Ovis aries: one gene and its partners. The protein of the gene in region 1 purifies or fractionates together with the protein of each later gene. This does not show direct contact. Links are inferred from orthologs where the notes say so. Each region holds a gene or a part of one and is shown in the gene's direction. Other genes may lie near its edges.

Region 1 (4,805 bases):
CACGTTTCCTAAAAGATATATTATACATACTATTTGTATAAATGTATACAAAAGCTTTTCTACCGTGCTTGATAAAGTCTTGAGAAAGATTAACAACAAAAAGAGATGGAAAATTGGAAAACATAAACTAAGTGAAATGGGAGCACTAAATATGAAATAGAAAATGTGAAATGAACTGATAAAAGTAAAAGATCATCATTTCTTTGGTCTTGAAGCTGGGCATGTAAGGGGCTTGTAGGGTCTGCAGGGTGCACCCCAGCAATCCTACATCTGAAAACAACCAGAAAACATCTACTCTGCATCCTTTGATATATTCCTTTAAAAGCCTGATGGATTTTCATCTACTTGTAATTTAAGTCCTACCCAGCAAACTAGATTGAGTCTTGATCATTTCTGCTTTCAGTTCCTTCAACAATCCGAGCCAGTTGGAGCTGTTGACTGAAGAAAAACTGCATAACCTAAAAGTCATGAGTTAGGTTTTATTTGAGGAATTTACTTCCCAGGTAGTGCGAGTGGTAAAGAACCTGCTTGCCACTGCAGAAGACACAAGAGACACAGGTTCAATCCCTGGGTCAGGAAGATCTCCTGGAGAAGGAAATGGCAACCCACTCCAGTATTCTGGCCTGGGAAACCCCATGGACAGAGGAGCCTGGCGGGGCTACAGTCTGTGGGGGTCGCAGAAGAGTTGGACACAACTCAGTGACTAAACAACAACATAGCTCTGAAGAACTGCTCCGAAGAGGCAAGGGAGAAGTCAGGATGTATAGGAGGTTTTGCTGAAACAAAGCACATAGTCAAATATGAAAAGATTAGTACTAATCACAAAAACCAGACATCTCAAGTTAATGGTTTAGTGATTTCTGATTTACGGGAAGATGCAAGAATCTGGCTCATTGAAATTATACCTTAGGTATGCATCTTAACTATTTAGAGCCAGTATCCTGCTTTCCTCCTGGGCGCCCACTATCTGGGTGCTGCAGTGGCTGATGGCTTGATGGCAGGCAATAGTCACTGTTTACTGAAATGGAAGTCAACATTCTTTGTTTACTGACATGGCAGGGAACATTTTTATGTGTGTGCAAACTGGCTATTTTCTCTGCCTGGAAAACTCCTCAGAGTTTTGCTTGGGGGGGCGGGGCTCAGCTCAAGGGTCACCTCCTGCAAGTTCTCTTTGACTATTTTCATCTAGAGTGGCCATCTCTCAGGAACTTCTCCAGTTGTCCAGTGGTTAAGACTCAGTCTTTCATTTCAGGAGGTTCAGGTTCAGTCCTTGGTTGGGAAACTAAGATCGTATATGCTGCAGAGTGCGACCAAAACTTAATAAAATCTGAAAAAAAATATTTTAAAAGTGGCCATCTCTCCCCACACTTCTGCACTCCGGCCCTGCCACTCTAGCCCCCAATATCCTAATTTATTTTCCTTATTTTTCTTATCACTCGCTTGCAATTATCTTATTCAATTATTTGCTCATTATCTCCCTATCTTGGTTAGTATGTAAGCTCCAGGGGAGAAGGTACAACAGCTCTGATTATTGCATCACCTCCAGGGTTTAGAACCCTATTTGGCACTTAGCAAGCCCTCAACAAACTTTTGTCCCAAACAATGAACCAATGAGCAGCTACGTGGTAGTTTAATCTCCTCCTTCTCCTTTAAATACTAGCCAAGTAGACCCACCTGGATTATAAATCCGCAGGACTAGGTAGAGGGCGTTCAGTCTCGCCATTGGCCGGAATATTTGTCGTTGCTGCTGGCAACCACTGTTCCCCACCAGTCGTGTTGTCGGCCCGGCCCGGCCCCGCCCCTCTCCGCCCCGCCTCCGAGACGCCAAGCTTCTACCCAGTGGTGAAAAAGTATGCTTGCCCTTTAAGCGGCGGGGCTTCTGGTCAACTTCGTCGGCGGCCGCCGGAAGGGGAAGTTTCGCCGCCGAGCTCTCCCTTGCTGGTCCGAATTCGGTGGCGCCACGTCCGCCGGTCCCCGCCTTCTGCACCGGGGGCTGGGGCGGCTTCCGCCTGGACATTTTCCACTCGCAGAGTAGGCCGCGTCGTGAGGGGGCCGGGACGGGGAGTCGGGCGGCTGCGCGCATCCCGGCCACCAAAGAGGCGAAGATGTCGGACATCGGGGACTGGTTTAGGAGCATCCCGACCATCACGCGCTATTGGTTCGCCGCCACCGTCGCGGTGCCCTTAGTCGGCAAACTCGGTCTCATCAGCCCGGCCTATTTCTTCCTCTGGCCCGAAGCCTTCCTCTATCGCTTTCAGGTACTGACCGACGACGGGGCAAGTGGCGCCTACAGACCCCAAGTGGCCCCGCCGCGGCGGAGCGTAGACTGGCCGGTTGCGGACGCGCGGTGCCTGATGGGATTTGTAGTGCAGAGGCTCCCGCGGTTTAGGGCGGGGTCCTTTGGTCCGGGAGTCGGGTGGACTGACGGGTGGACTGCTTTGCCAAAGCGTCCGAGCGTGGGCCTGGATTGCTGGAGACACGGAGGCTCCAGGGTTTGGCCCGGTGGGAAGGGACTGATTTTGTCCTGTTAAGATTGTGCTCCCCGCCCTCTGGGCTCCGAGAAGGCGCCACTGGGAAGGTAAGACTGATAAGTTGTCGATCTGTGGGACGCCAGTGAATGGCAGGCTGGGGCCACCTGGAGCACCTGCCCTCCGACCTCGCTCTGCCATCCACGTGGGTGGCATGTGGACGTCGCCTTGCTCAACCACCAGCCGAGTTCTTTTTATGTTAATGAAGTTTCTTCCCAGCAGGAGTGATTTGAAAGTCTGAGGTGCAAAGAGTGAGTCTGTTTGTGTGTCTCCCAAGTCCTTAGTATCTGGCAGGTCGTAGTTGAATTTATGAAGGACCGAGTAAAGAGTAAATTGCTCCAGAAATGGATTTTTTTTTTTTAAGCATTAAGGAAACAGTCCAGGGTAATATTCCTAGTAAGCGAATATTAGTTTTCTGGAGGTTTATCTTTATTCACCGGATTCTGTGATTTAAATCTTTAATCAGTGCAGGTCGGATACTAAGATCTGACATTAATTTCAACACATTTTTTGGACTGTGGGTAACGCTGTCTTGTCTTCTCTCTCTTCGCTGGCTATTTCTTAGTTTTCTTTGCTGGTTCCTCATCTTCCTGATCTTTAAATACTGTGGTGTACCCCAGGCCCTCTTTTCTGTATTCTCCCTAGCTGCGGGTGATCGCGTTTAGTTCATGGCTTTAAGTCATTTCTACAAGCTGAAGTTTCTCAAATACAAATATACCTACTTTCAGTCCAGATCTGTCTCAGTTCCAGACTTGTACGCCCAACCATATACTTGAAATGACTACTTAGATGACTAACAGACATCACACACTTAATGTGTCCAGCACTGTACCCTTTCCCCTAGGAGTAAATAGCAACTCCATTTTTATAGGAGCTCAAGCTAATAGTCATGGAGTCATCTTTGACTTCTCTCACATCCCAGTCTGTTAGCAAATTCTGTTTACTTTAGACAAATATCCAGAATGCAGTCCCTTTTTATTCTCTGTTGCAAGCCATTTTCATACCAGCCTGGTTCCTTTCAGTCTTAACTCCAGACAGTTAGAGTGATCCTTTTAAAACATAAATCCATGTCCTGTCAGTCTTCTGCCCAGATCCTTTTAATGTCTTCTCAACTGATTGAGTAAAGTTCAAGTCTTTTGGCCTGCAAGGCTTCCTACTGCCTCTCTGAGCGCATCTCCTCCTACTCTTCACCTTGTACATTAGGTTCCACAGTGGGATCTTTCCTGTTTCTTCAGCACCTAACGCCATCCCTCCTCAGGACATTTGCACATGATGTTTCTCTGCTTGAGTACGGTAAACATAGTTTACCTCTTTACCTCCTTCAACTCTGCCCAAATGCCACCTTATTGGCATTTATGATTGCCCTAAAACAGTGCCTCTCCTTCAGTCTGTCTCCCTTCCTGATAGTTTTTCTTGCTGCATATCACCCCTTGGTGTCCGTCAGCCTGCTTCCCTTCAGAGAATAAAACTCCACAAGCACCGCTTGTCTTGTGTACCAGTCTGTTACCTGGATCCGTGTTTGGCACATAGCAAGTGCTTACTTATTGGTTGAATGCATGGAACCAGTGCTGGGCACTAGGGGTACAACAGTGAACAGGAAGAAAATAAGAGAGGCATGCGATGGTGACTTTGATAGAGTATTCTAGAAAGGCGTCAGAGAGTATATTTGAACTGAAATCTGAAAGATGAGCCAGTTTTGGGAAGATGTGGCTCTGGAGACAATCTTTGCAAGAAGAAGAAAGAATAAGTGAAAGACTTAGAGGCAGGAATTAGAATCAGGAAGAAGACTGAATGGTTAGTGCAGAGTCAGTGGGAGGGATGAGGATTAGTAGGGAGGACAGAGAGATAGCCGGGGGTAAGTACAATAAAGCAAAGATGGAAAAGTAGGCTGGGGCTTTGTGGTTGAACTTTAATTTGAAGGCACTAGAAAGGCAGAGCCTTTAGAGCCTTTTGACTGAAATATTCTCTTGGCTACTCTTTATGGGGTGAGGGGAGGCCCTGGTGGCTCAACAGTAAAGAATCTGCCTGCAATGCAGGATTCGATCCCTGCATCAGGAAAATTGCCTGGAGAAGGAAGTGGCATCCCACTCCAGTATTCTTGCCAGGAAAATCCCATGGACAAAGGAGCCTCGCAGGCTATAGTCCCTGGGGTCACAAGAGAGTCAGACACAACTTAGCGACTAAACAACTCTGTGGGATGGACTTGGTGTTGTGAATGGTGGCAAGGGAGGGCTAGGTAATGGGACCAGCGAGGTAAGTCAAGTTAGAATGCAAGAA
Region 2 (4,635 bases), on another chromosome or scaffold:
CCTCCAACCACCCCTCACCCAACTTGGTCCTCGGTCCCTCACAGGTGCTCAGAAAGATGTAACTGCCCATGGCCCTCTGACCTAAGGAAGCAAAATGAGCCCAGCCCCCAGGAGAGGGGATTGGTGGCCTTTAGCCAGAAGCTTGAATCTGAAGAGGTGTCTCTGGGCAAATGCACTAGCCCCTCCCTCCAAATCTTTCTCCTGCTCAGATCCTGGGATTCATCTGAGGTTTTCCGGGCTCAGAATATCAAAGATAAAACATGTTTGGCGTTGACTTAGGGCCCATCTGTGCCTGAGACTGTCTTGTGTGTTATCATCACACTGGCTCTTCACAGTCCTGGTATAAGTGGTCATTCTTATTCCCCAACTCACAGAAGAGGAAATGGGGGTGCAAAGAGGTTAATTAGCTAAGATCTCATCAGATAGTTGTGGAGTGAAGGCTTAAATCCAGATGCTCAGCCCCCCAGCCCATGCCTGAGCCACTAAGCCACAGTGCCCCCTGAAGAAGGGAGCTGGTGCCTGGAAGGGGGCTCCCATAGTGAGTATCGGGGGTACATTGATGTGTCTGTGTGTGTGCCTGGGGCAGTCAGTGTAGGCTAGGTCCCACACTCTCTGGGAAACTGCCAACAGATGTAGCATCCCTGAAGTCCTCCCTCACTCTCTGGACCAAGCAGGGCCTCTGGTCCTTCATCTACTTGGTCTATACGCCTCCCCTCACTCCCTTCCTGCTGCAGACTTCACACTTCATCTTTATTTCCATCCCTCTCCCATATCTAGGCAGGATTATGGGGGGACAGGGTCTCCCCGACACCGCCAATTCACAGCCAGCGCACAGCATCTTTCTAGGATACACTCACTCCCAGAGAATCAGTCTGGATACAACAATCAATAGTTCCAGAAGTAACCAAGTGGACAGAACTTTCTCCAGCTTGGCTTCTGATTTGTGATTGGAGAATGGCCCCTGGGTGGACCCACCCCAGGCATTCTGTGCTTGCCCAATTTCCCGGATCATCCCACCGCTCCTTCCCAGGATGCACGTCCAGAGGAGCTCTCTGCAGTGTGAAATACTACAGAAGTGGGCAGTGGGAGGATGGGGAGACGAGGAAGGGCTGAGCATGGAGCCCTGGACTCAAAAGGAACAGGTCCCAACCCAGAGCCCCTCACTTTCTCCCCAGCCCTGCCTCACATCCTTTCTTCACTCCTCCTCCAAGTGCCCCAGTCCCCCCTAAGATCTTACATCCCTTCTTCCTGCAGCCAGCGTCTGTAACACACCCTCCCCAATAAACACAGCCCATCTCAGTCTCTGTGGGGCTCCCCTTGTGCATTTCAGAGGTGGCTTAGGCTGCCTCCCTCCACAGGTGGCCCTGAAAACCTGCCAAAACGCTGATGCCCGGCTCTGGGCCAAAAGGAGACGCCTGTCATGCCCTTTAATCTGCTCTGCCAGGTGCTACCAGCCCGCTTACAGAAGCTCAAAGGCACTGGGTGATTCATCCTGGGTCACACAGCCAGACACAGCAGGGACAACAGGTGACACACAAGACTACCGCCTGGGCTGGAAAGGGTTTTCTGGCATCTGCCTGGCTCCTGGCAGCTTTGTGCAAGGCAGCTTCCTGCCCAGGGTCCCCACCCCTCCCAGACCTGCTGCCTGAACCACCCAGAAGCTCCTTCCTCCTGCGCTGGCAGAGCCTGGACGCCACGCTTAGGGCACACACTGCCTCCAGGAGCCCCAGGGGAGGAGGAGTTCCTTCTGCCACAAGAACCTGGCATTGAAGGTAAGGGGGATAGGGGGGCACCTTCCTACCTGCCCCAGAACACCAGGCTGAGAGGCACTAAGCGTGGCAACAGCCTGGACACTTGCCTACACCCACTCAGTGAGAGAGCTGAAAGGGGCAGCCAGGCATGGAGGGAGGCCATTTTACAGATGGGGAAACTGAGGCACGGGGAGGGGAACAAATGTCCAGGAGGTACGGAGGGCAAGCCTTGTTTCATCACACCCTAGGTCTTCAAGCTACGGGTAGGTGCAGAGCCCTGGGTAAGAAACTCCTTCAGCCAGCTCAGGAGAAAGAGTCAGTGTTCTGAAGCTAGCTTGTGGAATCGGAAAGTCTGGAGAGATAGGAGCGGAGAGTCCTTCCCTCCCTGGACTCATTTCTGCTCCTATATTGGGGGGGTGTGTGGTACACACTCTCCTCACAGGGACACTGAGAGGACTGAGTAAGGGAAGCCTGGAGGGAAGCTCCTGGAATGTTCCCCTCATCCCCAGACCACCCACCTAGAATCACAGCAGGGAGACCCATGGGCACAGGGCTCACCATGTGCTCCCGACGCTGGGCTCTGAGCTCTGAAACTGCTGCATTTAATCCTCACAGCAGCCCAGCGAGGTACAAACTGTCACATCCCCATTTTACAGATGGGGAAACAGGCATGAAGCGATTAAATGACTCACCTGAGATCTCACAGCCAGTGAGTGGGGATGCTGGGTTCCCTGGTCTAAACCTGTGTAGTAGAGGAACCTACAGGCTATTCGCCAGGCACAGTCCCATAGCTGGGGCCAGGGGATGAGCGGAGGACAAAGACACACTTGTCCACTGGCTCAACAAATACCGAGTGTACATGGCGTGCCAAGGGTGTGTAGGGCGGTGCACACAGCATGATGCCAACTGCCTCAGGCTTCTAAATGGACTCTAACCCACTGAAAAGCCCAAGGCGACTGGCATCAAACTACATGCACCACCCCAGTAGGGCCCCACTGGCCTCAATCCCACACTACCACCCTGGCCACCACCAGTGCCCCCAAAAGCCAGCCGTAGCTCCTGGATGGAGCCACAGGTCCCAGGAAAATTCAGGCAGCCTGTGGGTCGAGTTAGCTGGCCGGAAGCCAGATCCAGCGGAAACAGAAACAGGCCTGAGGCTGGCCAGGAATTGCACCTCCTCCCACCTGGAGAAGCTTGGTGAGCAGGTGTGAGCAGAGGGCTGTGCAGATCAAAATCAAGAGCCTAGTATGTGCCCAGTGCTTTACATAAGTGAGTTCCACATCCCTGGCAATGAGCTGGAAGTGGGACTTCCAAGGCCTTAGGATGCAAATGAAACTACCCCATGTTTCAGAGAGATGGACCAGCTTGCCTGAGGCCACACAACCCTCTATAGATTTACTCTCTGACCCTGGGCCTGTGCCCATGCCACCCATATCAGCCTTAGGTAGCTGTGTCAACTGCAGTCAGGACCCATTTTCTTTCCAGGGAAGGCGAGAGCGGTTTTGTGTCTGCTTGGTGACTTGAGGTAGATGACCAGTTTCTCTATCTGCCAGCTGAGCTCATAACATTCTCTACCCCTTGCATCTTCAGCAGTGGGCCTTTTGTTTGTTTGTTTTTTAATTTTTTTTTGGCTATGCTGGCTCTTCGCTGCTGCTTCCTCTTGCTGTGGCAAAGGGGCTACTCTAGTTGTGGTGCACGGCCTGCCCATCGCAGCGGCTTCTCTGGTTACGGGCCACGGTCTCTAGGGCACAGGCTCCAGCAGTCACTGTATGGGATAGTTGCCCCACAGCATACGGAATCTCCCCTGACCAGGGATCGAACCTATGTCCCCTGCACTGGCAGGCAAATTCTTAACCACTGGACTACCAGGGAAATCCCAGCAGTGAGCATTGGGCATTTCAAGGTGGCTCCATCAGTGGTAGCTCTTGCTACTGATGAAGCAGCAACTGAGAGCTCCCCAGTGGATTGCAGGCCAGCAAAATCATGCCATCCCCTAGAATGTCGGCATCAATGCCACCCCAGCTTGGATGCAGGATGCTGTGGTTTATGAGCTGGGCACAAAGACTCTCTCAGGGATATGGAGCACAGGGCTGCGTGCCGCCCAGAAGGAGCACCGCTGGACAACGTGAGCAGGCAGTCCAGTGTCCAGCCGATGGACTTAGTCCTTGTTTGTTCCTCTGATAACTGGGGTGACCTTGGTTAATGTTTACCAGCAGCCTCCCCCTTCGCCCTTCTGGGTCCAGTGGTTAAATAGGGGCAAGGACAGGGCTCTGTCTCCTCAGCCTCAGTCAGCAGCCCTGACCTGGGACAGTGAATCGTAAGTATGCCTTCCACTGGCCAGGGGCCTCCAGGACCCTGCGCTCCCCAGGCAAGCCTTGGGGATGCAAGGAGGATGGAGCAGGCTGGGGCCAGGCCATCTGCTGTCATAGTAACAGCAGCCCAGGGGTCCTTTCCTGCTTCCCAAGCCTATCCAGGGCCTCCCCAATTCCTCCTGGTGACTAAAGGGGCCCTCTGCGAGCAGAAGTGGAAGTGAGGGGGTGGGGGCTGGCTTTGGCATCCAGCGACCTAGGAGGGAGTATGTTTCTGCTGGCGCAGCTCCTGTATCTTTCCCGTCGGTGGTCTTCTGTAGGTCTTGTCCCGTCGGTGTCTTCTGTAGGTCTCGCCGCCTCTGCATTTGCTTGGGTGTGTATCTTTTCTCGCTTCTACAGATGAGAACGATAAGGCTCAGGGAGGGACAGTGAGTAGTCCAGGCTCACAGAGCAACCTGGTAGGGAAGCCAGGTCGGACGGGAAGCTCTGAGTTTCAGCTGCCTCCATTCTCTGCAGAAGTGCCCAGAACAGAACCGTACCAGGTCTTAGCCTGGAGTTACCGAAGCGGGCACCCC
Region 3 (4,545 bases), on another chromosome or scaffold:
CGCCCCCCATCCTGGTCTTTGGGGAGAAGGGACACTCTCAGGCCCTTGTCCCTGTAGGCTGTACCTTACTTTCTTCCTTCGTATAGTCTCCTTACTCACCCACGCTGAGACTACCCGTCTCTGCAATATAGAAAAGATGTATGCTTTTTTCCCAATGGAAATTGGACATTAGGCTTAATTTCTTGAAAAAGTGAGGAAGAATGCTGTTTCCTCTGGGATGAGCATGCCTCCTTAATTTTGTAGTCATGTACCTAGCTCTCTCTCCACCATACTCCCATCATCCCCTTGTCAGGATCATCCCATCACTCTCCACTCCTATTGGGTCTCCTCTTCTCCCTCTCAATGACCTTTTCCCTAAACCTCTACACGTCGCCTGAACCTTAACCTCCTCTGCCATAGGCGACTCCTAATTTCTCATCTTTCCTCACTTGAGTCACGTGGGGCCTTTTTATCAGGATGTTGTTGAAGAACCCTCAGCTTGTGTCTGGCCTCCAGCCCCCAGTCACCTTTGCCCTGAAAAGGATGTAAAGAACACCGGTAACTCCAGGACTGTTACCTAGTTCTGCTCCTTGGGCTTCAGTGAGGGCCACTGACTGTAGAAGAGGCCCAAACTTGTGCGAAAGGCCCACGCTCTGAAGCAGCCTGCCTAAGTCCCAGGGGTCCAGCCCAGGAGGAAGACCCCAGTTCTGCCGGGCACAGGAGAAAGAAGGGGCGGGTCGCCTAAAAGGGGGCGGGCCTTGCCTCTTGCACCCACTCACAAAGGGAGGGGGGCTAGGCCTTTTCTGCTTTTAAGATTTAAAACGGAGTCGAGGTCAACTCGTTCTACTATGTGCCACGTTAAAAAGGGGATGGGTCTTCAGTTCAGTTCTGCTCTGTAAATCACCTAAAGAGGGGCGGGCTGAGTCGTCCAGCCGAGGGAGATGGGTTAACACCAGCGCTGCAGATCGACGTTCGCACCATCCAAACGTCGGGCTAATCCTAGTCCTGCTCCCTTCTTCACTAAGAGGGAGGGGCGGACCCAAGTTCTGCTCTCTACGTCACCGAAGGAGGCCGAAGCCATTTTGAACCCTGCGACCCTAGTATTTGTCCTCTTTTCCGAGCTCGTCGCCGTCTTTCCCGATCTCGGCCAATCAGGAGCGAAAAAAGGGGTCCAATCAGTCGAGAGAGACCTCAGTCGGAGGACCCGGATGAGGACGAGCCGAGGCCTTTGAACCCCAAACCCCGCCAATTGTGGAGCAGTCACCATGGCGACAGTATAGAGGTGAAGGGGTGGGACCAGAGAAGGCTCAATCCTCATAGGATTGGCCCACCCCGTCCCTGCCTGATGCGCTCGCGCACTTTACCTAGCTACCATTTTCTGTCGAGGTGTAGCCAATCAGTTGCTTCGGAGCCAAACGCTCCAAAGTCCAATAGGAATCTGGATATTCTCTGAAAGAGGAAGTAAAAGAAAGACTGGGTCTTGTAGTGGGCGAGGTCTAAGCAGTCTTGAGCCAATTGCTTCTGGCCTTTGGTTATGACTGGCAGTTACTCAGACGAATAAAGCCCGCCCTAGCTGGGTGACAGGACGTATGGAGTTGTTACCAATCCCGTGGCATTGCCGACTAACTGTGACTGTGTCAGCCAATAGTCATTGTACAAGGGCGGAGCCACGTGATCATCTTTCCGCCCCCGCCTTTTGGACCAATCCTTCCTTCCGATTCTGTATGATTGGCAGGCACTCAGGCCAATAGTGATTAGAAAACTTTGAAGCCTGCCCAAAGACCGTGGGCCGGAGGAGGTTTCTCGTTTCTCGGGGCGTCTGTATGTGTGTTTCGGGGGACTAAGGGGTACGCGGGGGACGAAAGAGTACCGGCCATGGCAGCAGCGGAGGAGGAGGACGGGGGCCCCGAAGGGCCAAACCGCGAGCGGGGCGGGGCGGGCGCGACCTTCGAATGTAATATATGTTTGGAGACTGCTCGGGAAGCTGTGGTCAGTGTGTGTGGCCACCTGTACTGGTGAGAATCTGAGAGGGGCAAAAATAACTGGGGCTCACATCTATACTGGGGAGGTTGGGGTGGGGGTGCCACAGTCATACGGGCAACCAGAGGGCACATTTTCATAGGTGAGGCCTGAGGGGGCTTCTTGCGTCTTTTTGGGTATGTGTGGGTGAGAGGGTCACGTCTGTATAGAGGAGACCCGTGGAAAGTCGTAGGAACTAGGCTCCAACTAGTATGTTAAGAAATGGGGCGCAGGAGGTGGGTACCGCACATCTGTGCAGGTGAGACCCGAGCCACCTTAACCTCTGGAAATTGAGGGGTCTTACTTAGCTGTACATTGGAGGAGGAAATGGCAACCGACTCCGGTATTCTTGCCTGGAGAATCCATCCCAGGGACAGGGGAGCCTAGTGGGCTGCCATCTATGGGGTCGCACAGAGTCGGACACGACTGAAGCGACGCAGCAGCAGCAGCTGTACAGTTGGGAACGGATTAGACTGCAAGGTTAGGGGAGATCTAGAGAACGAGGGATCACATTCAGGTGAGCTGTGTCAAGGGGTGGTATGAGAAACCTCCGGACAAGAGCACGGTGGAGTAGCAGCCCCCAAAGATTAAGGAATTGTGGAAGTAAGGTCTTTATTGAGCATAGGAGATAGGAAAAGGAGTAATGGGAGAAGGTAGGTGCTGGTAAAGGGGGTTTGGTTGGGGAGTGATGGCGGCAAGAATGAGAGGAGGGCTGAAAGGAGCCTGCAAAGGGGTGGTTGAAGAAAACTGGAAATTAAATTGAAAAGCAGAGAAGGAAGGGGTGAGGATTTGTATATGTATGGGGTGTGGGGATTGCGGTAGGGAAGAGGAGAGAGGTGAGGGTTGAGCCTGTTGAGAATAGATGTAGCTTTGGAAGGTTAGAGAAGCAGGATGGCCAAATTGGCTGGCATGGTAGGAGTTGTGGAAAATATGAAAAGAAACAGCAGGTAATACCTGGTAACAGCGAGGTGGGACTCTGAGGTTGGGTAGGTATCTCTTTTGTGTTTGGTTTCAACTGGTTTGACCTTTGTTTTCCCCCTTGCAGTTGGCCCTGTCTTCATCAGGTGCGTACTCAGAGGAGATGAAGAGGGAAATGGGGAGGTCTGAGGAGCTGGAAGAACCCTTCTGTGTACTGGAAACCACATTTTTTTCCCCCAGTGGTTGGAGACACGGCCAGAGAGGCAAGAGTGCCCAGTGTGCAAAGCTGGGATCAGCAGAGAAAACGTTGTCCCTCTCTATGGGCGAGGGAGCCAGAAGCCCCAGGATCCCAGGTAAGAGAGGGGAGGTGGTACTGAAAGAAAGTGGACACTTCTTTCTGGGGAGTGGGGTGTAGAAGAGGAGGGAATATTGATAGTCCCTCTCCTCTTCCTCAGATTGAAAACCCCACCCCGCCCACAGGGCCAGCGACCCGCTCCAGAGAGCAGAGGGGTGAGTCTTGTCTGATTTGTGTTCCTTCCTTGCCAAAGACTCGCCCAGTTTCCCACTGACCTTCTCCGCCTCCCTAGGGATTCCAGCCATTTGGTGATACTGGGGGCTTTCACTTCTCATTTGGTGTCGGTGCTTTTCCCTTTGGCTTTTTCACCACCGTCTTCAATACCCATGAACCGTTCCGTCGGGGTACAGGTAAGAGTCTGCCCTCAACTGCTACCAGCAAGTCCTCTGAATCCCCTGGCCTATGAGTGGATGCTTCTTTCACAGCTCTCTTCTCTCCCACAGGTGTGGATCTGGGACAGGGTCACCCGGCCTCCAGCTGGCAGGACTCCCTCTTCCTGTTTCTCGCCATCTTCTTCTTTTTCTGGCTGCTCAGTATTTGAGCCATGTCTCCTTCCTGCCCACCACCAGCCAGAGGAGAATCAGTATTGGGGGTCCCTGCTGACCCTTCCTTACTCCTGGACCCTCCCCACCCAAGCCCTTCATTTCTGTTGGCTAAGGCCAACCCTGGCCACTTTCCACAAGGATGTGTGGAGAAGGAGTGACATCTGTGCATAGGATAGGAGAACCTGTGCTCTGGACTGCTCCCTCAGTAGCGTCATAACTCCCAGCTCTGGGAGAGGAGGATGGACTAAAGACAGTGTCTGTCTCTCGTCTCTCCCGATCCTTTGCTTTCCACCATATTTCTTGATTTGATGTTGAAAGGTGGGCAAGGCTCCCTCTGACTCTTCTCCCATGTTCCCCTTGATTTAATTTAATTTTTCTCTCCCCAGTGTCTAATGTGGGTCCTGACTCTCAAGTGCTTCCCTCCCCTCACTACCTCCTTTATGATAAATTCAATAAACATGATGAGATGTATTCACTCTGCCTACGTTTGTCCGTCCCTCCTTCCTTTCAAGACAGGAGCATCTTCTCCCCAACTTGAGCAGATATTGGTGTGGTGTGGGGAAGCATGGGGGAGAGGGCATCACACAACACACACAGCAAATGTGGCAGGTGTTTACTCATCACTTTCTGTGGGAGGCTCTGGTTGTGGAAGAAAGCTGGCGGGAGGTGGGCTGAAGATTATACAGAGGAGAACTGGGCTGGGGCCGGAACAGACTGGGAAAAGAAAAG
Region 4 (4,842 bases), on another chromosome or scaffold:
GTCTCATTCCTCCTTCCCGAGGCCCTCACGATGGTCAGTGGCATGGCACTCCCAACTGAGGAGTCACCAGAGGACTGGGCATTTGCCTCGTGGGGGCACTACAGGTACTCGCTGGCGGTGGGGACCCTGGGGACTGTGGTTGAGGAGGCCAGGTGGCTGAGGCACGGGAGAAAGGGTGGCTTTTAAAAGAGGGGAGGTCAGGGTGACAGGCCACCTCGAAGGGCTTGGGGGTAGGGGCTGCCTGTGGACGACAGGAGGGGTAGGAGGGAAGCGGGGAGGGGGGTGGGGGGTGGGGTCAGAGGCTCTGGCACTGGGCCAGGGGGCGTGGTCAGTCCCTCTTGGCATCGGGCTCACACACTGCGTCCGGAGACGGGAAAGATGAGCCTGAGCTAGGGGCCACTCACTCTTGAGGTTTAGCCTGAACACCTGGGTAAACAGGGGAGGGGGGCTGGATGGCTGCAGGACACAGGACGGAGAGCAGACAGGACGCCTTTTTGGCAGACCTCCTCCTTGCCCTGGGGAAAGTGGGAGAACAATGACTGCAGCCTTCCGGAGTTTGGCTTCTGCTAATGACGAGGGCTTCTGCTCAAGAGGAGGGGTCTTTTGAGAAGAGGAGGGCTGGCCGGGGAGGCGGGGAGGGACTGGCGACCTAGGGTGAGGGGGGTCTGCCGAATCAGGTGCGGCAGGAGTCGGCGATGGGTCCGGGTGGGGCTGGACCCAGAGGGGCGGGGATCGGGAGGCCAGCGCTGGGCGCAGGGCAGCGAGCGCGCGTGGACTCAGGCTCGGAATCACCGGGCGTCCCGGGAGGCGGGGGTGGGAGCCCATCTGCTCTGCTCCCGGTTGCGGCCGGGCCGGCGGAGTGAGGGACGGCGGGAGAACGGCCCAGACCGCGAGGAGGGCGGAGCCGGAGGCGGCATAGGCCCCGGTCTGGGGCGGGGAGGTCGCCAGCGCGGCAGGCAGACCCAGGCCGACAAAGCCCCAAGCCCCGGCAAGAGGCAGGACCGGAGCCCCGAGCCGGGCCCCCGCCGTCGCCCCCTTACCTGTCGGCCGCCGCGCGGAGCCCAGGGTGGGAGGTGCCGAGTTCCGGAGCCCCTCTGCCCGCCGCCGATTCAAATACCGACGGTTGGCGAGCGCGGCCAATCAGCGCGTGGCTGGGGCGGGGCGCGGGGCGCCGACAGCCAATGGGAGGCAGAACGCCAGCCCACGCCCACTAGGAGGTTTCGTTTCCGGGGCGAGGGCACGCTGGGCGCGGCGGTCGCCGGATTCCTCAGTAAAGGCGGTTCTCCTGACGCGCCTAGAGGGGAGGCCGCACGCGGGTGGACGGTGACTGCGGAGCCCGCCGTCTCCCAGGAATCCCGGGCTTTGGTGCGGACGCGCCTGAGCTGCGCGGAAATTAGGGCCCGAGAGCCTCTCCCCCGAGTCTCAGTTTCCCCAGCTGGCCAATGGGATCGAGTGCAGCGCCGCCCCCAAGCGGGTCGTGGGGGAAGAGCCAAACCCTCGCGAGAACTGTAGGGGCGGCTCGCGATGTGTGGGGGGGCGGGTGTCGAACGAGGGGCTCGAGAACTTCATTTCCCAAAATACTCCGCGGGACTCCATCTCCCAGAGCGCCCCGCGAGTGCCCCGAGGGCAGGGACTCCGTTTCCCAGAGCGCCCCGCGCCGCCGGGCGCCTACCGGACCCGGACGCTGTGGCCGGTTCGCTACGCTGGGTGGCGGGCCTCGCCGGGCCGGTTTCCCGGCGGCGACGGCGGCGCGATGGACAGCCCTGAGGTCACCTTCACGCTGGCCTACCTGGTGTTCGCCGTGTGCTTCGTGTTCACCCCGACCGAGTTCCACTCGGCCGGGCTCACGGTGCAGAACCTGCTGTCCGGCTGGCTGGGCAGCGAAGACGCCGCCTTCGTGCCCTATCACCTGCGCCGCACGGCCGCCACGCTGCTGTGCCACTCGCTGCTGCCCCTCGGTGAGCCGGGCGCCGACCTCCGGAACCCGGAGCGGGAGGGACGGGGGGCGGGGTCCCGTGCTGGAGAGCCGAGGCTGCGAGGGGAGCGCCCGTGTGCTCGGGGAAGTGCTGCCCCTTGCAGGTACCCGGCGGAGAGGCGAGCTCAGAACCCTGGGGAAGGGGGTGCTCTGCTCACTGGGGCAAGTGGTGAGCTGGCTCTCGGCGGACAGGTCAGGTATGAGTTAACTGATGCCCCTAGGGGTGGCCTGTTCCAATCTCTTTGGAAGGTGGGTGCGGGAAAGGCAGGCAGAGAGGGTGACGGCAGTCGAGTGTCATTTCCGCCTCCAGTAGATCTTCCTGACCCAGGGATCGAACCCGCATCTCCTGCATTGGCAGGCAGGATCTTTGCCACTGAACACTAGGGAAGGCCCCCACCCTCACCCCTACCCTTTAAAAAATATATAATTTTATTCACGGGTGTGCTGGGTCTTCGTTGTTGCCCGAGGTCTTTCTCTAGTCGCGTGGGAGATACTCTGTTGCAAGCCTTAAAGCGCGCAGATTCCAGTAGTTGTGGCACCGGGCTTAGCTGCTCTGCAGCATGTGGGATCTTCCGGGCCCAGAAATCAAACCCTTGTCCTCCGCGTTGGCAGGCCGATTCTTAACCGCTGCACGGCCTGGGAAGTCCTAGAGAAGCCCTTTTGGAACTTCAGAGAAGTGTTGTTTATTGCCACATGAGTTACTTATCATGTATCAGTTTGATCAATAGCATTTATTACTATTTTTGCAACTTCAAACCCTTCCTGCAGGTCAGTATCCACGTTATTAACTTTGATATGCAAATTGGCCCCCATCTGGCCACCAGGGGCCTGGAGCTGGCTCCCATGTCCCTTGCTCTTGTCACTGTTTGTTTACTGTCTGGTCCACGACGTCCCGGTTCTGGGATGGGCCATACTCTGGTCTGCTTCCTCAGAGTAGCTGGGACCCAGAGGCTGAGATCCAGTCCCAAGACGGCCTGTGGGCAGCTCTGCATTGGGTGACACCATATCCTTGTGCTTATTTTTGCTTTTCTAGGATTTTCTCATTTTATTTCCTCTACTCATATGTGGTTTTACAAAGCTAAAGTAGTAAGATGAGAATGTTTTCTGCTCACTGGACAGGTACTCAGTTGAGTCAGCTATGGAGCTGGACAAGGCCCACCTGCCCTGGGGTACCACGGCCTTGCCCTGGGAGCTGACCGTGGCAGAGAGCCAGATCCAAGGCTGGGGATTAAAGGAAGAGGCCTCCCCCAGTCCCACCAAGGGATAGGGTCAGTACTGGGGAGGCTGGCAGCCGGGCAGTCCCAACCTCTGCTGAAGCTTGCCCGTCCCTTTTAGGCTACTATGTGGGCATGTGCTTTGCAGCCTCGGAAAAGCAGCTCTACTACCCCAGCCAGACCCCGGAGACCTGGCGGGCCTTCCTCCTGCTAGCGTTGATGCTGCCCACCATCACCTGCACCCTGATCTACTACTGGTCCCGGGACCGGTGGGCCCGCCACCCCCTGGCCCGCACCCTGGCCCTCTATGCCCTCCCACGGTCGGGCTGGCGGGCTGTGGCTTCCTCCGTGAACACGGAGTTCCGGCGGATTGACAAGTTTGCCACCGGGGTGCCGGGTGCCCGTGTGATCGTGACGGACACATGGGTGATGAAGGTGACCACGTACCGCGTGCACGTGGCCCAGCAGCAGGACGTGCACCTGACCCTGATGGAGTCCCAGCAGCACGACCTCTCCCCAGACTCACATCTGCCCGTGCAGCTGCTCACCATCCGCGTGGCCAGCGCCAACCCTGCCGTGCAGGCCTTCGACATCCGGTATGCGGGCCTGCGGCTGGGGCCGCTGGGGTGGTGCACCCTTGGTCGCTCTTGGTGTTGCTCAGGGGCCGGGGTGGGTGGGAGCTGGTCCTTCTGGAGTGCCCCTCCCTCAGGTCCTTTGCGTTTCCTCTTTCTTCCCAGCCTGCTCTGAGCTGTCTTCCCGGCGCCTCGGCGGGAGCACACAGGGGGTGTCTGGGGGCCACTGTATGGGACAGATGCTGGGTGGCTCCCTCAGCCCTGAGCCTGGGCCGGGGCCGAGGTGCTCCTGTCTAGTTAAGGCTGTGGCAGGCCTGCCCGCCCCTCCTGGACCCGTCTTGGGCCTGAACCTGCCGAGGGCCAGGCCCTCTGCTACAGTTCTCCCACCCTCCGGGCCCCTCCGCATGTCCCAAGGAGAGGCCCATGGGCAGCACTGGGCCAGTGGGCTCTGGACCCACGGCCATCTCTAGTGGGCCCCGCCCAGCAGCGTCCACCTCTACAGGCTGAACTCCACGGAGTACGGCGAGCTGTGTGAGAAGCTCCGGGCGCCCATCCGCAGCGTGGCCAACGTGGTCATCCACCAGAGCCTGGGCGACCTCTTCCTGGAGACCTTCGCCTCCCTGGTGGAGGTCAACCCGGCCTACTCGGTCCCCAGCAGCCAGGTAGGGGGCTGGGCAGGGGAGGTGGGTTCCCACAGCCGGGCCGCCGTGGACCGCCTCTCCTGGGGTAGGGCAGGACCCCCGTCCCCAGGCAGCCCGGCCGAGCCCCCTCTGACCGCCGGCCTGCCCGCAGGACCTGGAGGCCTGCATCGGCTGCATGCAGGCCCGCGCCAGCGTGAAGCTGGTGAAGCGCTGCCAGGCGGCGGCCGCGGGCGCGTGCCAGCAGTGCCGCTGCCGCCCCATGTGGTGCCTCGCCTGCATGGGCAAGTGGTTCGCCAGCCGCCAGGACCCGCAGCGCCCCGACACCTGGCTGGCCAGCCGCGTGCCCTGCCCCACCTGCCGCGCGCGCTTCTGCATCCTGGACGTGTGCGCCGTGCGCTGAGCCCCCTAGGGGGACCCTGCGGCTGCCTCCAGGGGAAGAC
Region 5 (4,107 bases), on another chromosome or scaffold:
AGGGCGTGTAAGTCAGGCCCCGGGATTCTCTTGACGTTCCTCCCTTGCTCATCTGAGAAGCCAGAGAAGCGCTCCCACCAGAAACTCTTTAAAACAGGCTTCTCAGCCACTTGCTCCTCAACTCTGTCTTTGCCTTGGGCTGATGCTGGCCAGCCTGGGTCTGGAAGCACGAGCAACACAGACGGCCCCTAACCGAGCCTGCGAAGGGCCTTGGGCATTGTCTTGGCCTTCACAGCTGCATCTATAATGGAGAGAGCCCCATTATTACATCTTGTGACTCAAGCACAGTATCTCATGTCTGTTTTAAAAAAGATACTAAGAATATACCCTTCTTATCTGCCTAGCTGTTTTCAGAGTCAAATGAGGGTATAAAATTTGTGCAGTACATGTGGTAAGACTTGCTGAAGTTTTAGAGCCATAAGTAGTGGTGAACAGAAAATTCCCAGAATGCAAATTAGTAGTTGTGTGTCTTCTGACAGTACAGTTTCGAGGTGCTTCTGTTTTCCATATGGTAATCCTTCACTTACTCCCCAGTGTTGAACATGCCGTGGTGAGTCAGGCCCTGCCCATCAGGAACCCTTGTCTGCTGACATGTGTTTGTCGGTCCCTGCCTGGCAGCCTGTCTCCTTTGGGGTCTAGAAGAGCATCACGAGGGGCTCTGGTCAGGTGGGGAACTGGACTGCTCATAGCAACCCCTTGCTTCCTTGTGTCCAGACCGAGCGGGTGCCGCTGGACCTCAGTCCTCGGCTGGAGGAGGCGCTGGACTTTGGCGAGCTGGAGGTGGAGCCCAGTGAGGGGGAGGACTTTGAGGCCCGGGGCAGCCGCTTCTCCAAGTCCGCGGACGAGAGGCAGCGCATGCTGGTGCAACGCAAGGATGACCTCCTGCAGCAGGCGCGGAGGTAAGCGGGCCCGCAGTGCCATTGCAGGGCACCTCCCATCCAGTCCCGGGACCTGAGCGTCCTAGCCATAGATGCCAGCGTTGGAGCATTAGCACCTGTCACCTGCAGTTTCCAGTTTCAAATCTCTGCTGAGAAGCCAGAGGATCTGGTAATACTGGGCCACCCGATAACCTCTGGCCAGCGCTGCCAGCGTCCCCTGTGGGCGCTTTAACCCACACTCCCGTGCTTAGTACTTCTGTGCCAACGTGTTCTAGACCCTTTATGTTAACTACTTTCTCATTCTCTTAACTCTAAGAGAGAGCACGGTGATTATCCCCATTAAACAGACTTGAAGCTGAAGAAACCAAGGCCTCGAGGGCCTCATGCCGGCCTGGTGCCCAGCTCCCGAGTCCTCCGTCCTGGCCACTCTGCACGGCCAGCATTGGAGCACGGCTACATCCCCGCAAGCCCCAGCCCCGGGTGGGGGCAGCCAGAGGGAGAATGTTCTCTTGACTTGGCAGGCACTGGGTAGTTAAACATTTGGTGACAGGGCTGGTGTGTTGTTCCCGTGGGTGGGCTTGGTGCCCAGCGCCAGCCTGGTGAGTAGGGACTTCATGCTGTGTGTGTGCAGGGGGTGGAGGAGAGGGAGGGGCTAAGCAGCCTCCGCTGCAGAGACCTTCCGCCCCTCCGTTCAGGGCTGGGTGTCTGGTTTACGGGGTGGTGCTGAGTGACTTCGTGGCCGTGCCGGGGAGGGGGAAATTACGGAAGCACATAGTGTGTGTCTGTGTGCCTGCCTTCCAGAGCTGCCCGGGTCCCTCACTTGCACCTTTGGTTTTTGGTAGGCGTTTCTTGAACAGAAGCTCTGAAGATGACTCGGCCTCAGAGAGCTGCCTCCCCTCAGAAGGGACGGCCTCTGACCCTGTGGCCCTGCGTCGAAGGATGCTGGCCGCTGCGGCCGAGCGGAGGCTTCAGAAGCAGCAGGCCTCCTAGCGCTTCCTTGCCGTCCGCGCCGCCTCCGCCCGAGCCGCGTGCCCGGCCTGCTGAAGAGGCCTGTCCCCAGTTGCGCCCGCTGTGTGAAGAAGCGGGCTTGACTGCATCGCCGCTGTATAAAGCATGTGGTCTTAATAGTGTTTGGACAGCTGACAGATTTAATCCTTTTTTGTAATACTTTCTATGTGACATTTTTCTTCCCTTAGAAACACTGCACATTTTAACTCTAGGCATGATCTCTTCTGCATTGACTGGACTTTGGACGGGTGGGGAGGATCAAGAGGAGGTGGGCAACCAAAGACCTGAAGCAGGCAACGTCCATACCTGCCTTATGCAGAAGTCATAACAGATGCCAGTGTCTTTAGCTCCAAATGTGGCAGGAAGTGTGTGTGCAGCAGATGGGGGTTGGAGGCAGGGGGATCCATACAAAGCAGCGTGGAGATGGACAGACAGAGCCTGACTCCACACCACTGGGTAATTTCTGTTGTCCAGCTGCTGTTCTTAGTGAGGAGGCATTCAGAATGTCACAGAGTGAGGCCAGAGCTACAGGCTTCTGGACCCCTGGGCTGGCGGGGCCTCATGGAAAAACCGTGTTTGGTTTGATACCTGGAGCAGAGCAAGGGAAAGCCCAGGGATGTGGTGTGAGGAGGTGACAGTTGTGTCCCAGGACATGCGGGACTTTCCGAGCCCCCTGTCCAGAGCTGGCTTTACTTCCGTTAATGCTGGTGCTCCTCCATCTATGAGTATGCCCCGCGTGTCCATCCTCTCCTCTCTGTATTTCATTGTCCCCTGCCCACCTGCCCCCAGACATGGGGAAGGTCAGCACTGACAGGGTTAAGCAGCAAGCTTTGGTTCGTGGTTTTAATTCCTTGGTAAAGTCAATTAGGCAATGCCAAAGGCTGTGGGTTTGGTCTTTGGGGATGGGAGAGTACTCCTTGGAGGGCTTCATTGAAGAAACAAATGATACCTTTTGTAGCTTTCTTCCCTGGAGCCCTTCATTTTCATAACTGTGTTGGTTAAAAGGTGAGGTGTTGCCTCCACCTGCCTTGGAGCAGACCCAGATCTGAACTTTTTCAAATCCTTGACAAATTTCACTTGAAGGGTTTGAAACACGCAATCATAGCTTACATAGTTCAGTTTTATGTCCTACTGGATTAAGTTTTCTTTTTTTTTTAATGTTTGAAAGCATAGTTTTATGGTAGTCCTTTTGGGAAGAATCCAGTATTACCTAAAATTGGCAAAGTTAAATGTATTTTACATAACAAAGTTTTTAGGATGTTGAGAAGTAACTGAAAATAGAGCGATGAGTACGTGTTTAGGCTGAGATAATTTATTTCAATAAATCTTCCGAAAGCCTTATCTTGAAATGCTGTTAGTAAATTTCTGTGATTTTTTTTCTTTTAAAATTTGTTTTGCTGAGAGCATAGCTATTTGTTTTTACTGTAAAACAACAACAAGAATAATAATAATAAAAAGCAAACTGTCCTAGTGTGGTGTTGTGTGTGGCTTGGAGCTAAGGCAGTTTTCTTCAGAAGTGCAGAAATTAGATTGTGTTTTGATATTGTGTATTCTGTTTTGGTTGGTGGGGTTTTCTTTATAATTTTGTGTGTGTGTGTGTGATGTGCACCTTTAAAGATGATACCAATTCCGTGTGTTCTTATGTTTCAGATGTGTGAAAGAATGTTTTGGAGTCAATTTTAGAGGGTCCTGAGACAGTGGAATACAGCAGTATGACAGTGATCACAGGAGAGACATGCCTTTAAAACGACCCCAAAGAGAGATCCTAAATTCGCCCTTAGACTTTACTCCTGCATAGCAAAGGATTCTGTGCACTTACTGTCTCTTGGCTTCTGTCACTTCCTGGGGATATCTGGGACAGACTAAAGGCAAGGGTAGGATGCCAGGCCAGCCCCCCACCGCCATGGGGTGGCCCCCGCCCCCAGCCCCTTGGCCGTGCCAGCTTCTCCAGCATGCTTTGCTGAGGAGGCCAGGCCGTTGGTTCAGGTCTGTAAACCGAGGGCGTCTGGGTGCTCTGAATGGTGGTGGAGGGGCCCTTGCGCTCTCTGGGCTCTTCTGGAAGTGATCTCCCTCACTCCTTTCATTTTCTTTTGACCCTTTTGACATCTTGGGTTCCCAGTTTGGTTTTCCCCCCTCTGATTTTGAGGCTTTTATGTACCGTAGAGACCCATGATCTTTGTGGATGTTCTAGTTCTGTTGATGTGGATTCTGGGTGTGCAGG
Region 6 (4,275 bases), on another chromosome or scaffold:
TGCCAATTGAAGAGAGATGGGTTCAGTCCCTGGGTCAGAAAGACCCCTGGAGAAAGGAAATGGCAACCCACTCCAGTATTCTTGTCTGGGAAATACCATGCACAGAGGAGCCTGGCGAGTGACAGTCCATGGGGTTGCACCGGCTAGGACTTAACCAACTCAACAACAGCAGGGTTTGTTGTTTATATCAGACCAGTTTTCAGAGAAAAAGATATATCAATTCATAGCAGGACTGGGTAACAAATCTCTTAAAAAGAGCTTCCCTGCATGTTTGCTCTGTGAAATGGATGGATTTTGAAATGAAATTTCACTGTAATGCGGTAATTTTGTATCTCCAAGTCATCCTGGAGAAAGCTATATTTGATTTCATAGTTGGGGTGTGTGTGTGTGTGTTTTCTCACTGCCCTTTTTCTCTGTGACCTCTGCAGGTAATCCACGACTTCTTATTCTCCTTGAAAGAAAGCCCTGAAAAGTTTCAGATTGAAGCCAATTTTCCCCGAAGGGTGCTGCCCTGCCTCCCTTCAGAGGAGTGGCCCAACCCCCCAACGCTGCAGGAGGCCGGACTCAGCCACACAGAAGTTCTCTTTGTTCAGGACCTAACAGACGAATGACACTTTTTCTTCCTCTTCTCTCCCACCCCAATCCCCAAAAGAAATGGAAAAAAAAAAACACACAAAAATAAGAGAGATTGATATTATTATTATTATAATACAATATTTTTTTTAAAGACTGCTGCGTCCTAAGGAAGGATCAGAAACCATGCTGCCTGCAAGAGTCACCACCTGTGTGCGCACGCGAGGTTAGCAATGAACGTTCCCGCTGGCAAGCCCACCCTTCCCTACTCCCTCTTGCACCATACACCTTCCAATGAAAGGAGACTCTGCCTCCAACCCAGCCGTTGTCCCAACTGGGGAAGGGGACATTCCCACTAGATCTCATGCATTCTTGCTTTTATGGAAAATAAAAGTGAAAACCTTCATCAAACAGCTACTGCAGCATCTCCTGAGGACTCGCTTCTCCCACCTCCAGAGAAGAGGGGAGAGAAGGCACAGAGCGGAGAGATGTTCCTCAACTTCCTACAGTTCATGAATAATTTTAATTTTTTTTCTGTTGCTTTGTAATGACCAAAGGAATGAGGCTGACATAGATGTATTTGTTTTCCTTAACATTATTTGATAAGGAGCCAGTTTTTAAACCCATGAATCCTTGCCCTGGGCTCCTTAGCCCACAAGAGTGTAATAAAGGTGCCCTGGGCTGGTTTATGCTTATTTCTGCCATTGTCCCTCTCACGTTCCCAGAGAGGTGGTTCTTTTTGGTCCAACTCTTGCTGTCCTTTCTTGCCACCTATGCACCCCGCTTGGGGCAATGGGAGGAAGTCCAGGTTTGTACCCCTGCAAAGGTGGTGTATGTACCAATAGACCCGTATATATGGTATGAACTCCATGTAGATTTACCTATACATAAAACTGCAGCTTTTCCTTGGAATCTGGATCAGTGGTCATTATGGGGTCTGAACCAAAGGATGGCAGTTCATTCCTGTTCTGACATGTGCATGCTCTTTCTGCCCAGCCCTGAGCCTTCCTGAATTGCCAAGCTTGGTGCCTTTCCAAAGGACTAACAGGGCCTGTGATGCAGCCAACAGAACCATGTGAGAGGACCTTGCCTATCTCCTTAGGAATTGGCGGTAGTGGTGGTTTAAGGATTGAAAGAACCATAGGCTTGAAGGAAGTCAAGACAGAACTCAGCCTGTGTAAATTTTTGGAAGGCACAGTTAGTTCAGTTTTTGATGTAGCCGCCTGCTGTGGAGACAAGTTTTTATCCTCTCTATTGCTGTTGAAGTAGTAGGGGTTTTTAGCCTCTGGATGTCTTGTCTGTGGTTGAGTTTATGGTAATGGGTACATGGGTCAGGCCATGTATTAGCATGAGCTGACAAGTATTCCAAGGTGTTCTGTGGTAGACTGGTGTAGACCCAACACTGCAACCTACTGAAGTTACCACAGTTGCCTAGCATTTGGTGAGGCCAGGGGCTCATACCAAGGTCAGGCACAAGTTGCTGGATTTGCAGTCTCCAGAGGCTTATCTCCTGCTTAGCTAAACCTGAGGGCCATCCTTTTAGGTTGCACTGACATGGCTGCTATTTGCTGCTGCCCTCAGTGGTTGGGGTAAACACCACCAAGGGCAGGTGGGGAGCCCCGTAGGTGTCACCTGAGGACCTTGAGAATTTCGCAGTGGCCTTGGCACAAGTGTCAACAGCACAATCTCCAGGAAAATGTAACCCCGCTCCTGCTTCTGTCATCCTTCCACTTTGTTTCCTGCCATCCCATGACCAGATGAGTGGGAGATTGCTGGCTGTTGGCATAAAATGTTATCTGAAGTGAATTCCGGGATAAACCATGTTCTCCAGGCCACCTTATGTGAGAAGTTTGCTTCTTGCTGACAAGCACGCAAAGAGGAATTTTTTCAGTTAACTCAGAACCAACCTGCCTGCCTAGAATTTGCATTTCCCTGGCAGGACCTTTGCCAGGCTGGATGTACCAAGTCTGCTCAATAGTTCGATCTGCATCTCATTCTACAGTGTGCACCCTGTGCCTCTTGCCTTTTGCTAACCTGACCAGTGAAGGAGGTCCAGTGCCAGAGTATTGAAGTCTATTTGTGTCAGTACAACTCTCAGGATGGCCTGTCAATTTGCTTTGTTTTGCTTTTGTCATTTTTTTTTTTTTTTTTTTTTTTTTTTTACCGCTGCTTTACTCAGAGCAGTTCCTGTCTTCTTGCTGATCGAGACCTGCCACTCATCCCACTCCTTTGCTCCATGAAAGGTGCACATTTTGTCAATGCCGGTACAATCTGTATGTTATTCCCAAGGACCTCTGGGAACATGATGGGACCTTCAAGCAAGAAAACAGAGAAGCTGGTGATCCACAAGCATTTGCTCTTGTTTCCAAATCGCCTGATTATTTCAGCTGTTTTCAAATGCCAAGTCATCAGCTAAACAAAAACACTTGTTTCCAGTTTTGTTCTGCATTTCCAAGACTGAAGTAGTAGATTCAACTGAATTTCCGTAGGAAGTGACCAAGCAAAGATACCCAATTGGAGTCAGTTGAATTTCTGTAGCCTCAGTTTTTTCTTCAACACCTGCAGAATTTCCTGCAGCAAATACTTCTTTGTCCTTGCTTTCACTATAACGTTTGGATAAAAAATGGCCAATGGAGAATACTTCTTTAAAAAAGAAAGACTATAAACAAGCTAAAAAGAACCTAGAATCTTCAACTGAACAGTCATTATGAACACTGCAAATGGTGCCAAGGCCAAGGAAAAAGTTACGGAAAATGACTGTGGGAAGGAGTGATAACCCCCAGAACGCAGTCAGGGGAGTATTAATCTGGTGCTTGAACAAGGAGCTCCACTTTAGAACTGGTTTTGTTTTTTTTTTTTTAAGGACTTGCGAGAGACGCAGCAACAAGAAATCCATCCCCCAAGGATGCAGTGTCCAACTTGTACTGCACCTGAATAAGTTACATGACAATTTACTGAGGAAATCTAGTGTACTTTAAATTTTTTTCATAAAAGTTTACATTGTATTGTAGGTTAACATTAAATGTTTTATAACAAAATTTTCATACCAAGTTGTGGGTCTTTCTGTCTGGGGGAGATGTGGTTCTGTCTGAAGGCAAGGTTGGAAAACATCAGGGAAGGGAATATTGCCAAGAAGAGAGGGTCAAAAAGAAGCAGGGAGTCAAAACAGACCTATGATGTGTTCCTGTGAAAATGGCAGCTCAGGAGTGAATAGAAAGCTGGCGGATCTGTGTGCAGATTGTGGTCTGTCACTTGTCAGTCTTGTGAGCCTCTGTCTCGGGTCCCCTGAGCTTTAGTTTCACCCAAATGTAAATGAAGTTAATACCATCTGCCTCAGGATGGGCTTGCAGATAAAATCAAGTAAATGGAGGGGGGGAAAAACTATATATATAAAGCACCTGATGCAGGTGTCGTTTGTTCCCCTTTCTCTGAGGAAGTGTATTTTGAAGGTATATTTTCTGGTGTTAATAATGATTAGTTTATTAAGGAATGTCATTTCTCCTGCCTGTACAGACCTATGTTCTTGCAAATGAGTGGCTAGAGAAGAGTCACTTTGGATCTAACAGATTCTTGACTTTTAGAACTACCCTCCTAGTCTGTTTTTGCTCTTATTTTTATTTCTGAGGAGATTTAAGCCTCAGTTCTTTGCCTCTTTCCTACTACCTGTCCTGGGCAAAAAACTCATTTCTATAAGTTTTTGTC

The links.
Region 2: the proteins of DERL1 (region 1) and SERPINA1 purify together in Homo sapiens (affinity purification with western blotting; 4 studies listed by BioGRID). This does not show direct contact. The link is inferred for Ovis aries from reciprocal best matches to the Homo sapiens genes DERL1 and SERPINA1.
Region 3: the proteins of DERL1 (region 1) and RNF5 purify together in Homo sapiens (affinity purification with western blotting; 4 studies listed by BioGRID and IntAct, with this or other methods). This does not show direct contact. The link is inferred for Ovis aries from reciprocal best matches to the Homo sapiens genes DERL1 and RNF5.
Region 4: the proteins of DERL1 (region 1) and TMEM129 purify together in Homo sapiens (affinity purification with western blotting; 3 studies listed by BioGRID). This does not show direct contact. The link is inferred for Ovis aries from reciprocal best matches to the Homo sapiens genes DERL1 and TMEM129.
Region 5: the proteins of DERL1 (region 1) and AMFR purify together in Homo sapiens (affinity purification with western blotting; 4 studies listed by BioGRID, with this or other methods). This does not show direct contact. The link is inferred for Ovis aries from reciprocal best matches to the Homo sapiens genes DERL1 and AMFR.
Region 6: the proteins of DERL1 (region 1) and FAF2 purify together in Homo sapiens (affinity purification with western blotting; 4 studies listed by BioGRID and IntAct, with this or other methods). This does not show direct contact. The link is inferred for Ovis aries from reciprocal best matches to the Homo sapiens genes DERL1 and FAF2.

Annotation. Positions count from the first base shown.
Region 1 is NC_056062.1:29,741,853-29,746,657, forward strand, and holds the start of DERL1 (derlin-1), read left to right. Parts: upstream 1-1,885; 5' UTR 1,886-2,105; coding exon 2,106-2,258; exon of another isoform or gene 2,259-2,302; intron 2,303-2,402; exon of another isoform or gene 2,403-2,578; intron 2,579-4,805. UniProt on the Homo sapiens protein: Functional component of endoplasmic reticulum-associated degradation (ERAD) for misfolded lumenal proteins. Forms homotetramers which encircle a large channel traversing the endoplasmic reticulum (ER) membrane.
Region 2 is NC_056071.1:56,847,688-56,852,322, reverse strand, and holds the start of SERPINA1 (alpha-1-antiproteinase), read left to right. Parts: upstream 1-1,681; 5' UTR 1,682-1,772; intron 1,773-3,999; exon of another isoform or gene 4,000-4,068; intron 4,069-4,635.
Region 3 is NC_056073.1:26,283,894-26,288,438, reverse strand, and holds RNF5 (E3 ubiquitin-protein ligase RNF5), read left to right. Parts: upstream 1-1,745; 5' UTR 1,746-1,854; coding exon 1,855-1,994; intron 1,995-3,043; coding exon 3,044-3,062; intron 3,063-3,156; coding exon 3,157-3,269; intron 3,270-3,371; coding exon 3,372-3,426; intron 3,427-3,503; coding exon 3,504-3,621; intron 3,622-3,714; coding exon 3,715-3,812; 3' UTR 3,813-4,296; downstream 4,297-4,545. UniProt on the Homo sapiens protein: Membrane-bound E3 ubiquitin-protein ligase that mediates ubiquitination of target proteins. May function together with E2 ubiquitin-conjugating enzymes UBE2D1/UBCH5A and UBE2D2/UBC4.
Region 4 is NC_056059.1:117,520,201-117,525,042, forward strand, and holds the start of TMEM129 (E3 ubiquitin-protein ligase TM129), read left to right. Parts: upstream 1-1,656; 5' UTR 1,657-1,753; coding exon 1,754-1,958; intron 1,959-3,310; coding exon 3,311-3,785; intron 3,786-4,263; coding exon 4,264-4,423; intron 4,424-4,553; coding exon 4,554-4,802; 3' UTR 4,803-4,842. Other genes in the region: TACC3 (transforming acidic coiled-coil-containing protein 3), read right to left, coding at 1-44.
Region 5 is NC_056067.1:23,748,393-23,752,499, forward strand, and holds the end of AMFR (E3 ubiquitin-protein ligase AMFR), read left to right. Parts: intron 1-714; coding exon 715-899; intron 900-1,720; coding exon 1,721-1,868; 3' UTR 1,869-3,353; downstream 3,354-4,107. UniProt on the Homo sapiens protein: E3 ubiquitin-protein ligase that mediates the polyubiquitination of lysine and cysteine residues on target proteins, such as CD3D, CYP3A4, CFTR, INSIG1, SOAT2/ACAT2 and APOB for proteasomal degradation.
Region 6 is NC_056058.1:35,705,252-35,709,526, forward strand, and holds the end of FAF2 (FAS-associated factor 2), read left to right. Parts: intron 1-428; coding exon 429-611; 3' UTR 612-3,611; downstream 3,612-4,275. UniProt on the Homo sapiens protein: Plays an important role in endoplasmic reticulum-associated degradation (ERAD) that mediates ubiquitin-dependent degradation of misfolded endoplasmic reticulum proteins.